2 linked regions of the Astyanax mexicanus genome follow. The protein of the gene in region 1 interacts with the protein of each later gene in a pairwise test. Links are inferred from orthologs where the notes say so. Each region holds a gene or a part of one and is shown on either strand. Other genes may lie near its edges.

Region 1 (7,994 bases):
AGGGTTTAAATGTAAATGTCACATTTGTCAAAAACAAAATGTGTCAACTCAGCTGCTGCTGCTGTTGTTGTTGTTGTTCTGTTGTTGTCCTTTTAACCTTTCAAAACAACTTCCACTTTTCTGTTCTGTTTGGTTTTAACAAGTCTTAGTTTTATATTTAAGGTCCCCTAAGGGTCAAGTCTCTGTTGTATTAGCTGGCAGGTTAATCTACCAAACCTACCAAAAAACTACCAAAAATAAACAACTCTAGAGCAACAACTGGAGATTTCAAACTCCTTTAATGGTATATCACACAGTAATGTATGTGTCATATCAGATCATCTTCATGTTAACAACTTTAAAGAAACTGATAAAAAGATTTATAAAGTTCAAAATCTTATTATATAACAAATACAAGCTCTGTTACTTTATCTCTTTTTTAGAAACTGAATTTAATAAAATACAATGAACAAATCAGATCACTAATCTGATTAAACGACACAGTTTAACATGAAAAGGGAAACAATTAACAGCACGTTTTAAGATGAGCAAAATAACTCATGTTGGTCTATTCTTCATCAGCCTCTTCGTCTGGGCAGCAGTAATACTCAACAAAACAAATCTGTCCATCATCATTCCGCACAAGGTACTGTAATGAGAGGAAGCCTCGACTGTCTGTCCTTACAGACACCTTACAGGACAGCGCCAACGCCTTGGTGGAGGGTTTTAATAGAGACATCTTGTACCTGAGTGAGCAACAGCAAAACACAAACTGATATTATCCGGCGTCAATGCCAAAAGTCATAGGACAGGAACTAAAATTGTGTCACATGAATTTTGTCTATATTCACATTGTCTGTAATGTCTGTGAACAAATCTGATTTGATCATTTTAATTTGGAAATTAACCTTCTAGTCATTACAAAGTTTGGTCTTCTTACCTGTTGGTTTGTGTCTTTGTACACTGGAACAGCTCCATCATTTCAGAGTCTTTGGGATAGTCGTAATGGGCATTTCCAGAATTTCCAAATGTGGACAATCTGGGGGGAAAACAATCAAATTAATTATTTATATTGTTTGATATTAGTAATATAATATGGTATTGAGTTTTAGGCAGTGTTTTAAATGTGATAAAGCTTTGGAAAACAACTAGTTAAACAGGGCTAATTATTATACATACAACATAAAAAAACATAATGCAACATGAAAAAAACATAATTTTTATTATTTTATCTTTTTTTTATGTGCCCATACTTACTTTTAAAGGGCCCAAAATATTCCATGATGTAAACATGTTTATTAGATAACAGGCTAGTTTTTATCCAGATGCACAAATCTAACCTAATGAGATTGTCAACAAAATCAATAATAGGTCAATAATAGGGGTGGGAATCTCTAGGCACCTTACGATTTGAATACAATTCAGAGGTCTGCGATTAGATTATAAAACGTTTCTCGATTCGTCTTGATGCATCTATTTCTTTTATACAGGATTTATTTGTTCTCATTGTATGAATATTAATGAAGTAGAGCATCTGTAATGATCCATAATATATCCTTAAAAAAGCATAGTTTTTTTTAATTAACCAGATGATTAGTACAAAAAAGTGCCTTCAGCATAGTGACGGTGTATCGACAGTTTGGAGGAAAGTAGCGGATGGCTTGATAGGTAGCTTGCTGGATTAATGATCGTAGTAAAAAAAACCCAGCTTGACAGCGTGAGCGGCAGAAAACAGACTCACACAGGGAAGGAGAACATCAGGGAAATGCGAGATCAAATGTTATGCGTATTTTAGAACATGCATGCAAAATTCGTACATGTTGGCAAGTCTAAATCGATTTTTAGCATTTATGAATCGATACAGAATCGCCCACGTCCGAATCGAGCTGAATGTATGTAAGACACAAAAATGTCCCCCACTCTTGGTCAATATCATTGCCAATAAGACAAGGCATAGTGTTTCTGTACCTGAAATAGGGGTGACTGGGTGACATTGTTAGCTGCAGGATCTCACTGGTCATGTCCAGTTCTGAGAAAGCCTCTTTCAGGCTGTCTGACTGAAGTATGACCTTGTTGGTCACATTGGTGCTACAGAAGTCAAAGTCTAAGGGTTCCTCTGGTTCTTGGGTGTTAATCTTGCAAACAGTAACCACTCCTCCTTCCTCCAGGAACAGGGTCAATGGATAGCCATAACCATTGTAGCACATTTTCAGGGCAGTCATCACTCCTTCATTTTTTTAAAGAGAGAGAATGTATGATCCATCAAGATAAAATCATAAACAGTTTAATTACAATATGTTTTTAATGTTGTTTTAGCTCAATCAGTGATGCAACTACACTAACAGTGCATTATTATATCTAATCATTATTTATCATAGAAACGTGCCTGGCACTGTGCTTCCTCCAAAGATGGTGAGACAATCCAGAAGCACAGTTAGGTTAACCTGAAACCCAACCACATCCTCTTTAAGTGTGAACTCTTGAAAAATGTCTGCCTGCAGGATGAGAAAACCACACAATCAATTACAGTCAAAATGCATTTAAAACTGAGTGTTTTTGAGAATTCTTAATGTCTCATTCTGAACACTGACCTGAATGAACGCATTTGCTTGAAGACATTTGGAGTCTTCTACGGTTACTTTTAACCCATTCTGCGTCGCATTGAATATTGCATGGTCTTTGAAGGATATTGCTTTTAAGATGTTAGAAAGGTTTCTCACATTATCCAAACTAGCTATCAGGATGTACTCATCATTCTCTGGTTGAGACTGAGTTGACAAAGGCATTCTTCTGATCACAGAAAACACCTGCAATGACATTATAGAAGATAGTTAAAACTGAGACTCTGTAGTCCAGGGTCCATATTTATGTCCATAGTATATTTTACCATATAATAGCATATTTTTGGTAAATCAAATAGGACCATAAAACATGGCTGTTGAAATTTATATAAATATGCTTAAAGACTGAATTGTTTTCCTGGCACTAAATGTAGGGGTTGAGGTTAGAGCTGTACAATATTAACAAATGCCCTATTGATATAAATAGATTATTTATTAATAGATAATTAATACAAAAAAATAATATTGCAGTTTTTAACACAGACATACTGCTCCACCCCACTGGGCTGTCGAACACATAAAGCATTAATATTAGCTTGTTAGCTACCTACTTCTACTCATATAAAAAAAAAAAACTAAAAGCAAAGCAGTAGCAAGCTAAACATTTTTGTTAATTGTTATTTAACTTCTAATGTTAGCTAGACATTTGTTAAACATTAAACAGCAACACTAAAGTGATCTCAGGAAACTTTTAAAACAGTTTGAGCAGCCTGTCAAAAATGGCCAAAAACCCAAAGGAAATTGTGATTAACTCAGGATGCATGAAAACTGTGATTAAAAAACAGCGTTATTCCACCAAATATCTGCATCAACTGTGTGTGTGTGCCGAAATAATAACCAGTTTTAGATCTTACCTCAGTGTGTATTAAACTACATGTAGTTTCAGTAAGAGGGCTGATTTGTGGCGCTGAATGTTTTGCTCGTGTTCTTCTTCTCCGTTTTTTCTCAGCAGCTCCACTGCCCCCTGCAGTGTTGGAGATACCGGGAGGCTTTTCATAATAAAAGTCCTACTAAAACTTTTAATGGATTTGATATGATTCCCAAAGAATACGTATAAAGGCCTTGAATAAATCTGTATAAATACTATTAAGTCTATAAATACTTTTTTGGGACGTTTTTGAATGTCCAGGAACACAGCACTGTGTGAATGCTGTGGGCAATGTAAAATAGGGAACATATATTATGGGATATTGGTGTTACAGACATTTAATAGAGTTATAGTACAAAATAAAGTGTTATATACATTATAGGAACACATTTTTTAAACGCGTAAATCTATTGTTTTGTTTTGGCCCCCGGTTTAACGGGGCAGTGCACTGATCCGCCGGTCGCCGTGGCAGCGGCAGAGACTCTTCGGGGCGGGGACGGAATCTCATCATCTGGAGCAGAGCCGGTTTACGGAGAGCCTGCCCACTTCTAATTATATCAGAAAATAAGTGCAAATCGTTAGAGGGAGCCCGCGAGGGAGTCCAAAATGAATGGGGGTGAATGGAGCTAAACAGCTAAAAACTCAAATTAAAATGATTAATTAACTACGTGTCCCGGATATTACATTAACGTAAAAAGTAAATTGACTAATTGAATAAATTTGTTAATCAAGCAAATAAACGTACCCGTATTTTCTACGTTATTACAACAAATATTTTTGGACAACAAATTGCATGCATCAATGTAATGCTGATCACTTTATGATTGTTTAAGGCTAAATAATAAAAAAAAATAAAGAATTGGGCGTTACTTTTCATTATTTCATTTTTTTCCATCTGGTTTAATAAAAAGAAATGGGTTTAATAAAAAGAAATCTTAAATTTAGGGAAAATGAAAAAATAAACCTTTACTCAATTCTTTAATTTTTCATCTAGTATTATAAGGTTGGATTTTACCTTTTTTTTTTTTTTTTTTTTTTTTACCTTTTTTTGGATTTAAAATTTTGTAAAGGTCCATTTCTTTTTTTTGTTGTGAAATTTTAGATTATGGAAGGCCGAAATGTAAAACGAAAATGGCCTTTACTATAGCATGTGGGGGGAAATTGTATTTAGCCTTAAATGGTCTGAAAATTACGGGTAAACATTGCACTGTTCTAGTTACAGTGAGATGACTGTTTAGCAAGCTTATGCGGTAACAAAGACGTCCATAACACATTTAAAAGGTTTGTAACTGGCAATAAAGGGCGTTAAACATTATTTAAATATGGTTCTGTATTGAGGAAATTAACATATTTTTAGTATGATTTTTATTAGACATATTAAACATAAACTATGATTTTGAGCGCCCTCTGGTGCTGTGATGAACCCGGAACACGTTCTGTAGTGGGAATTCTCCTCAGTAGAGAATCTCTGATCTGGAGAGTCTTTCTGCCACATAACCGAGAGAAGCGGCGAGCGGAGAAAACGGCGAAGAGACCGGCGAGATCAGCATATCTCCATTAATTCAGCTTAGCGGGTATGTGTGGAGATTCCTTCACTTTCTATAGTAAATAAAGCGGTTTATAATGTTAAATACAGTGTGTTTTTTGTGGTGGGTTTACTCGATAGCTGCGTTGCTAACCCCGCTAGCTGATTGTTGTGATTAGCTGAGTTGTTGTGTTGTGAGAGAAGCTCTGTAAACTGATGTTAAACTCGGCGGATCAGAGAGCAGAGCTAAGAAACTGCAGCTTTACAGGCTGTCAGTTTAGTCAGTTCCGTTTAGATACTCTGTTTTAATGTGATCAGGAATCCTCACTATACCAACACCAGTTGATCAGCAGCCATATGTCACCCAGCTGCTCAGATAACCTACAAATAGTCTAAGATAGGTGGTAGATAATACCCTGATATACAGCTCTGGAAAAAAATAAGAGACTACTTTAATTTCTGAATTAGTTTCTTTGATGTTGCTATTTATCGGTAAATGTTTGAGTAAAATGAACATTGTTGTTTTATTCTATAAACTACAGACAACATTTCTCCAAAATTCCAGATAACAATATTGGCATTTAGAAAATTTATTTGCAGAAAATGAGAAATGACTGAATTAACAAAAAAGATGCAGAGCTTTTAGACCTCAAATAATTTAAAGAAAACCTCCACCATTCTTACACACTGCTTTTGGATAACTTTGTCACTCCTGGTGCAAACATTCAAGCAGTTCAGTTTGGTTTGATGGTTTGTGTTCATCCATCTTCCTCTTGATTATATTCCAGAAGTTTTAATTTTTTTAAAATCAATCAAAGAAAATAATTTTTAAGTGGTCAATTATTTTTTTCCAGAGCTGTATTATTTAATTTTAGGGCCATATGGGCATTATGGTACAATTTTGTGATTTTTTCAGTAAAAGGAAAATTCCCATAGGTCTTATTTCCCAATAAAGTCTATTAGAGACAGATTATATCTGTCCAATATTATTTATTTTACTAGATATATGAAGATATTTGGAGTGCATTATTAGTATTATGACATGTTGCATCATTGACTTCTATTACAGTCTGGTAAAAATGCCAATTAGGGGTGCACCATATCATATGGTATACAATTATATTGGCAAATACATTTTAATATTAATTTTCTTGCAGTAGTGTATTCTTAAATTTATTATTTTATTTATTGTTTTGTCATATCCCCAAAAATAATGTTATCCTGAAATATCCTGATATAATTTTAGGCTCATATTGCCCACCCCTAGTATAAGATGACACCAGATTTTACTAACTCATACAGAATCTACTTATTTCAGATGTCACCTATGAAATGTTTACTAGTAATAATATCAGATCTACAGATCAATAGATCTATAAAGCTTTTCTGACCTGTCATGTGTTACTATTGATTTACAATATTCATTTACAATGACCTTTACTATCTCTTATCTATAATTAAAATGTTACTAGTACACTGAAGTACTAGTATTTCAGTGTATACATGCCTATAATTGTCACAGTTATTAGTAACAGAAAAATGATTACTAATAAAAATATATTTTATTATATTCATTATATTATTGGTAGTCAGAACTTGAATTGTATATTTATTTACTGTCAGCTTATCTACAAAAATATTGGTCACTGCCTATCATAAGAGATGGGTAACCATGCTTTATCTAATCTGTTTTTAGGTCTATAATTTTTATTATTGTTATGTTCTCTTTTGTTCTCTTTCCTGACAATTCTGTCTGTCCCTTGCATTGCTGTAACATTGTGAATTAACCTGCTGTGGGATTAATAAAGGCTTTTCGTATAATACTTTATGTTATAGAGATTTAAACCTGCCCATAACATTAGTTACTAATCAGATCAAATGTCTCTAAGTGTTATTTATTTTTTAACTTTTTTACTTTTCTCTACTGTAGTTGATCTGTACCATATGTCTCATTAAGTCCTGTTTTAATCATCAGTTTAAACCTTAAAGAAAAGAAAAGTTTACATTTATTCTCACAACTGACTCACAGTTTAAAAAGACTGTAATCTTCTGTTGCTTCTCAACAGTTGGACCTAATCAGTGATTGGCTGGCCTCAGGTCATGGCTAAAGATCCACTGGCAGAAGCTGGGCTTCACTTCGATGAACTTAATAAGCTACGAATACTTGAACCTGATGTTGGTCAGAAGACCACAGAGCTTAAAGAGGAGTGCAAAGAATTTGTTGACAGTAAGTATGGCTGTATTATAATTTATTTCCAGACTTTTAACACTTTTATTATCATGTTAATAAGGGCCAAAATGTACACAATCAAATTTATCACAATGTATTAATTAATTTAGATCAGTTCAGTAGAAAAACTGCCAAGAATGTCCACAACGGTACCCAAAAACAATTATGATTGTTGAAATCAACAAGTGTTTAAACATCATATCACCATTATTGAAACATTCTGATATATACTCAATTTGAATTACTGTCCATCCCATGTAAAATAACCTGTTAAATACTTTAAAGTCTGAACACAGAACACTGATGGAAATGAATTACCATGAGACAGAACCAAGTGGCTTTAAAGACTTTTTGCAAACTTTTTACAAATTTAATAAAAACTTACAGTCTTTAAAAATGCATCTATATTTTTCATATATTAAATCAATTAAGTAGACAAACATTTAACATTGTTGCCCTGATGTTGAAAGGTTTGGTGTTTGCACTGGGTAACTGCATGTGCACTTTCTTACTCTCCACCACTTGTCAGATAACAGCTTTAATTAAACTGATTTCATTTCATTTCTTGGAAAACAGAAATTGGCCAGTTTCAGAAAATAGTGGGTGGACTCATTGAGATGGTGGATGAACTGGCCAAGGAAGCAGAAAAAGAAAAAATGAAGGTACGTATGTGCCATTAAGATGACAGTTTAATGATAACTTGCAGACAGCTAAATAATTTCAACAACTGTTTCACAGGCAATAGGAGCTAGAAATCTGCTAAAATCAGTT
Region 2 (7,547 bases), on another chromosome or scaffold:
ATATGTTCGCTGTAAAGTCGGCACCAGAACGAATCTGAAGAACATGGCCACCAACTACTTTGGAACACAGTTCCTCAAACAGGTGGGTCTCAGAAACGAATGAGGGGGTTATTAGGACCAATCACGGTGAGGAGGAGGTTTTAGAACAGATAAGTAGGGGATTAGCAAGTCCAAAAACATGCAAGAAGGTTATTAGGAGCAAACAAGAGCAAACAAGCCTGTGTTTATTATTAATTACTCAAGGGGATATCTTGGAAAACAAGATATGGGTGGGTGGGTGGGTAAAGTGCTGTCGTTTATTTACAGTAAACTTATATTTCCAATATTTTACTGCGGTTAGCAGCAGCACTAGACGCAGGTAGCAGCACAAAGCCCTAGTAAATGCCGCCCGATAGCGCCACACTGAGGAACCTTGGGTGTTCTGGTAAGCCAGGGTGCTATTATACAGCAGTTTTAATGCAGTAAACACGCAGACTACAGGTCGATATTCTCATATTTAAAATGGTGAAAGAGCTAGCGCTGCGGTTAGTGGATAATGCTAATACTGCTCCAGCCTCTGTGTAACACTGCACTTCAGTGGAGTGGCTTTTACTGCTTCTTACATCCTGATTGGTAAAATTAATACATAAGGTGCACCAGATTTTAAGGTGCATAGTTGATTTTTGGGAAATTAAAGGATTTTAAGTGCACATTATAGTGCAGAAAAAACAGTATATACATGCATATGATATATCGCTGCTGTCCTGTGAAAAACACTTATCTCCATTTTTGTCGATTTTTAGTTTACTACATTATTTGAACAGACAAGCTGTCCCTTACACTGTGCCAAAATTTCTTGATGAACGGACCAACAGAAACTCTTTAAAATGACCTGAAACAAACTCTTTTTACCTTGACTTCCATTTAAAGTTTACAAGTTTTTTTCTCTCCTGTAAAGTTGCTGTTTTGGACATAAGTGTTTTTGATTGGACAGCGACGATATGCATAATACTTTATTGTTACCTTGATCAAACACAAATCAGCAACAACATTAAAATCAGCTCCATAAATACATACATTACACTGGTCAACTATGACATTATTATTACCTTCATGTTTGATAGGTCAAAGAGCCTGTTAAATAACCAAATGGAATTCCACGCCTAATAAATCTTAATGACAAGAATGACTTTTCAATTATTAATTGAATAAATATTTTAAATTGTAGTTTTGTAATTGTTTTATTTAAAGCAAGACAAAATACGTTTAACAAAATGATTGATTTGGGATTTGGCCAAATTTTTATTTTTGGCATATTTTTATTAATATGAACCATGTGGTCAGAAAATACAAAAAGCTAATGAAGAGATTTTTGGGACAAATCATAATCAAGGGAATGTCTTTTGGAAAAGCAACTGAGGTTATTAATACAGAGTCTACTGATAGTGATCATATTCCAGTGTCATTCATTTTCTTGCTTGTTAATATGCACTAATTTATATTTCTGCTGTTTATGTTTATTACTGAAGGCTCTGAGTAAACAGGAGGAGTCGTGAGAGGGAGGAGGAGGAGTCTGCACTGTCACTCCAGCTGTTTAAAAGGAGGAGGAGTTAAAGGACTTCCTGAAGCGAACATTAGTGTGTAGCTGACTCCGCTCTGCAGATGCTGCAGTATTTCAAACACACCTGTTCTAGTTTTGGTTAACGTTATGGTTTGAGTTTTCTTTAACTTATTAACATTTAATTTATATGCTGTGGGATATTAACATATATTGGACCTATAAAATGGTAATGTTACTTAACAGAACCCTTCAGAAGTTTGGGGATGTCCTGTCTCCTATTCTTTAATGTTCACTGTTACTTAGTTAAGTAAGAAAATATATATCACAGAATAGAGGGACTTGCAAATCTGTTCAACCCGTTTAAAAAGTGTTTAGCACAATTTTTTTTCCTGGAAAATATATTACTTAAAACTGAAATTTTATCCTGGCAGTGTTACATGCAGATTTTTTTTTCATTTTAAAACAAATTAAAACAATTAAAACAAAATGTTTTAACTTTATTAATTTAGAAATTAAATGTAGTATTTTACAGAGTACCCTGTTGTCATCTACAGGCCTTTCACTCTGTATAAAAAAAATGAGAAAATATATGGAAAAATTAATTGTCAACAAAATGTATAGAATAATCAAATAACTACATAAGAAAAAATAATAACTACATAAGAAAAATCTATAAAAGCAGCAAAAGTAATTTTATTTTACTAACTACACAATTTGCAGATACTGAATCATTGTTTATTATTTCATTTTGTGTTAGTTCATTATTCTGAGATTATACGTTTTTATTTTTAAATTTGAGTGCATCATTCATAATCATATCAGTGACAATAATTTTGTTTGTCGCAGTTATTTTTCTGACAGTATATATTCTAAAACTAAATCGTTTTTCTGACAGACCAACATGTGTACACAGCATGATTTTTTTTTTTTTTTTTTTTTTTTTTGTAAAATGTAACACAAATATACAAATATGACTAATTTAGTGATTTTTAAGGGGGTTGAATAGTTTTTGCAAGATAGTGTATGTTACTTTTAAACCTGTTTTTTTTTATTATTATTTACTGGGACTAAAAATAGAGGTGTGCCATATGGCAAAAGTGTTCATTCACAATATTGAGTGATTTTCACTAATATTTGTGAAGATATTTTGACTGAAACTGCTACTCTCACATAATGAGTACAGATATATTTATTATTAATCATTATTAATTATTATAAGTCTTCTTAAAGCACTGATGATATCCATAATATGCTCAGTATAAAGTATGCTGTGAACCACAATAACAAAATGAATAATAATATGATAAATTATTGCCATATAGCCCACCTCTAACTACGAATGTCTTTATACTTTCCTCTGATGTTTTGCTTTGATGTGTAAAACATGTACATACCTGTGTAAATGAATTAATGTAAAATACCTTTTGACACTCTGGAACTATGAATAGAACATTTTTCAGAGCATTTCTGTAGAGATGTTAGAATGTTTATCATATCTATAAGAGAGGTTGTTAGATCAGTCAGTATGAGTTAGTATGAGTTCTGTATTTGTGGAATGTGATGAGATGTGATGAAATGTTTCTTGAAGTGAACTGGATTAAATAGATTTGTCTACATTTCAGTGCATTCTTTCAGTTCAGTTTATTCTTTATTGTTTGGGAGAATCATTCTAATGTATAAGTAATTTATATTTATATTTTAAAAGTTTAAAAGTGATTACTTTTGGAATATACTATTTAAATTAAAATAAGGTAAAAGCACTGAACTTTACGAAGAGCTTAATTATTAATAAACACCTTTCTGTCTAGAATAAGTTAATAATTAAAATTTTTATTATGTATAAATCTCACTTACGATTGCTTTAGCACTGTTACAGTTTTTTTTTTTTTAAGAAATACCAGTTTTCCTAGAATAAAAACGAATTTTATTATTCCTGAAGTATTGTAGTATTTATGTAGAGAAACATTAGAGACCAAGCCAATAATATTTGTTTGTGGAAATCTGAAAGTTCATATTTGTTACATCATAGCTTATGCAGAGCAACGTCAAAGCAGGTGTTCTGTCGAGTTGTGCTACCCATCGATGCGTGCTTTCTGAAGACACTGCGCATGCGATAACCTACGATTTTTCTATATTCCTTTTTTTTTATGAATTTATTTTATTTATTTATTAAATGTGTTTTTGTGTGTGGATTAAACAACCTGGACTCACTGTCATTGCACAAAAGTGTAAATGGAAATTAATAATAATAAAAAAAATACACAAAATATTTTATAAAACAACACAAAGCATTTTATAATGATCTCTTATTGACATTAATTGGCCATAATATTGTGGCGTGGAAGGGGAAAGAAGACCCGTGAGACTCATGCTGAATGTTCAACAGCTCCTTTTATTGAACTGGCTTATCACTCACTCACAGTCTTTAACAAGACTAGGAGAGCTAAACCATAAAACCACAGAGCTAAATAGCCCAAAGGCCACCAACCCAGCTGTGTGTCTCCCAGATGGCAGATCCAGAGTGGTGCCCACCCTCTCTGCATAACCCCTCCCAAGGGAGATGCCCCACCCCTGTCATCCTCGCACACAGGAGAACAGAAACATGCCTGCAGGCAGCCACACACACAACCCAGAGCCGCCACAATATAGTGATTTATGCTATTCAAATATACTAACGTACATCTACTGGGCCTTCTACTGGGAACATGCTGTAATACGGTGCTTTTTTGTTTTTGTAAAGTTAGGTTTAATATGCACTACACTAGTGTAGAACGGGTTGACAAGGCAGCGCAACTGAATAGAATAACTGGCGATGAGGGAGGACTTTTATGTTGAAGTGTCGAAGCGTTTGTCAGTATATTGAACTGGTGTGATAATAGTCAGCTGATTTCCGTTCCGTTTCCGTTCTTCTACCCTTTTAAACTACAGATTCTGATTCTTACTCATACTGTTTTGTGTCCAGTTGGGGTTAAATTAAAACGTGGGATCTTTTTGTAATATTAATGTTAATTTTGTCGTTGTAAAACGTTATTTTTTTTATCTAAGGCTTTTATTTTGTAATATAGTGGATAGTGACTCCCCGGTCGTTAGTTTGTGCGGAGCTCGGTGTTGAGTGTTGTTACTCAGGGCGGAATGGTGATATAAAGCTGTATGTGATCAGTTTAACCTGAGTAATTTCGGATTATTAATATTAAACTATACTGTGTGAGAGTGGGTGGAGATGATCCCGACGGAGGACGCGTCCGCGCGGAAGCGGGAGATCGAGGAGAAGCTGAAGCAGGTCGGGCTGCGGTTCAATAGCCTTAATTAACGTTACATCCTTTATTTACACACTGTTAACACTGACACGCTGTAAACACACTCTACAGCATTAATACACACATGTATGTTAACAGTTAACGGTTTATTCTGAGGGGCTGTAGGGTCTTAGTGTGGTGGTCTTCTCTACAGTGCAGAGCTGCTGTGATAAATCTAGCTTTAGCTAATCTAAATACAGGCCATTCACTCACTATGCTTTAACCCAAAGAGCCCATGATGACAGTGTGTGTATTACAGACCCTTAAAATATATGTTAAATTCCTCACAGCACTCTGTCTTTCACTTTAACTCCTGATATCCCCAATTCACATCTGAGAGTATCACAGCACAGTGTGTGAATGTGTGTTTTATCCTTTTGTTTCCTTTATAAATCTAAATATAACTGGTTGTTTGGATCAGCAATTTCAGTTAAGTATATCATATAGCAGATGAACACAGTGATATTTGAGAAGTGAAATGAAGTTTATAGGATTTACAGAAAGTGTGCAATCATTTTTTAACAAAATTAGACAGGTGCAAAAATGTGGGCACATAAAATTACATCATTATTTATTAGATCATCCTTTTGCAGAAATAACAGCCTCTAAACTCTCCTATAGCTTCCAATAATAGTCTGGCTTCTGGTTGAAGGTATTTTGGATCATTCTTCTTTACAAAACATCTTCAGTTAAGTCAGATTTGATAGTGTTTGAGCATGAACAGCAGCCCACTTTAAATCATGCCACAGACTTTCAACATTATTCTCAAGAATCTACTGATATTGAATCTATGATACCCTCAGCTTTAAAAATATTCCCAGTACCTGCACTGAACACACAGCCCCACAGCATGATGGAACCACCACCACATTTTATGCTTTTTCCTCCATGCATACCGACCGCCCTCCAAATAACTCAATTTTAGTTTCATCAGTCCACAGCACCTTATACTAAAATGTGTCCAAATGTGCCTTAGCATACCTCAAGCGACTCTGTTTGTGGCGTGTGCACAGAAAAGGCCATTAAAAGTGTACTTTTGGCTATTTCAACAATTCAGATGTTTAGTCTTCCATATAACTACATTACATTACTTTACATTACATTACATTTAGCAGACACTTTTGTCCAAAGTGACTTACAATAGTAATGTACATAGAGGAATAGAAGTTTAATGTTAAAATACATTTTTAGACAGGGCTTAAAGGAGGTCAAATGGAAATAATGGGAATCTCTGAATAGTTCTGACGTGATTTTTAGACCAAAAGGTTATGGGCTTGATTATGGTTGTTATCATTTCTGTTTCATCTGGATTTTAGCCTTTTAAATATTTATACATATGTGCCGTCTTTAAAACAATAAGAAAAAAAGTTACTGCTCAGTATTCAGTCCTGTTCTGATTGTAAAAAGGTAAAGTTTTCTGTTGTTAAAGCTTTATAAATATATGATGGGTTATTTTCTCAAAATTTAACTATAATCTCTGTATCGTGGTGTCCAGTAGAATTGTACATGTGGTCATTTTGCTCCTGCAGTTTATGCTAAATCCAGTGTATCTGGTGTTTATTGAAGATAAATTTAGAATGGTTTGTTGATTTGTGTGTGTGTGTGTGTGTGTGTGTGTGTGCTGAACTGCAGGAGCAGGAAACTCTGTCCTTCATTCGGGAGAATCTGGAAAAGAGTGACCAGCTCACTAAAGGCATGGTAAGAGATTCAGAAACAGTGTGTGTGTATTTATGTCTTGTAGCTACATTATCTTTTGCATTTTGTGCTTAATAACGTATTTGGACACCTCAACATTCTTTCTGCTTTTATGTTGTCCCATTCTAAACCCATCCAATCCCATTTCACCCCTTGGCCCTACCATTTACTCCTACCCCTTCTTTTCGAGTGAAATCCTCCCCCTAAGAATTGGGACAACCCTACAAGCACCCTATATGTCATCAGAAGGACAGCACAAGTGACTTTTATATAAATATTCTGCTCTGAAATAAACCAATTTCTTATAGTTATTAGGGTGACAAACTGAATAATACAAAAAAACAGTATTCTAAATTTGTTGGGCAAGACAGGAAAGGTGAATATAAAGGTGAACAATAGCCTATAAAGGTGAAGATAGCCTCCATAATATACCAAAATTTGCATATCAAACTGGTCCCCAACACTAGTCCTGAAGCTGCTAATGTGTTACTGTTATAACCATTAAACCACTAAATGTGGAAGAATGTGGTTCCTGAGTGATTGAGTTGGGAACCACTGGTATATCACAATGATGTTTGTCAATGAACAATAAATAAATAACAATAAATTAATTAATAACACTGCTTAATTACCAGGATATTAGGTGAGCCTGCAGGCTGATGTGATAGCAGTGGAGCGCTAAAGTTCCGTAACCTAGCTGCTGGTTAACTAGTTAACTTTAGGGCATTGTATGTATTTAGAAAGGGTCAAGAAATTAATTATTATTGCTAATATCTTGATTCTTCTGTAATGGGGAGATGAAATTAGCTTTTATTTTATTTTATTTTTCCTTTCCGCCCTAAATGCTGCAGCTCCTGCCATCTGTTTCACTATTTAAGGTGGAACGGGAAAGTAAGCTAGAACTACTAGCAAACTTTTTTTCGACTATAGTTTTATTTCTGTCACTCAGGTGTCCATCCTGTCCTCGTTTGAGAGCCGCCTCATGGCTCTGGAGAACTCCATCATCCCGGTGCATA

What was found.
Region 2: the proteins of ift20 (region 1) and exoc7 interact in binary tests that used the Homo sapiens proteins (3 or more experiments, as listed by UniProt). The two-hybrid records come from large-scale screens. The link is inferred for Astyanax mexicanus from reciprocal best matches to the Homo sapiens genes IFT20 and EXOC7.

What each region holds. Positions count from the first base shown.
Region 1 is NC_064425.1:16,836,123-16,844,116, reverse strand, and holds the start of ift20 (intraflagellar transport protein 20 homolog), read left to right. Parts: upstream 1-4,912; 5' UTR 4,913-5,042; intron 5,043-7,059; 5' UTR 7,060-7,093; coding exon 7,094-7,220; intron 7,221-7,799; coding exon 7,800-7,885; intron 7,886-7,961; coding exon 7,962-7,994. Other genes in the region: cell cycle checkpoint protein RAD1, read right to left, coding at 548-725, 920-1,018, 1,948-2,206, 2,366-2,474, 2,571-2,765. UniProt on the Homo sapiens protein: Part of intraflagellar transport (IFT) particles involved in ciliary process assembly. May play a role in the trafficking of ciliary membrane proteins from the Golgi complex to the cilium.
Region 2 is NC_064422.1:17,965,673-17,973,219, reverse strand, and holds the start of exoc7 (exocyst complex component 7), read left to right. Parts: upstream 1-4,467; 5' UTR 4,468-4,760; coding exon 4,761-4,820; intron 4,821-6,468; coding exon 6,469-6,534; intron 6,535-7,480; coding exon 7,481-7,547. Other genes in the region: tvp23b (Golgi apparatus membrane protein TVP23 homolog B), read left to right, coding at 1-82, 1,509-1,535. UniProt on the Homo sapiens protein: Component of the exocyst complex involved in the docking of exocytic vesicles with fusion sites on the plasma membrane.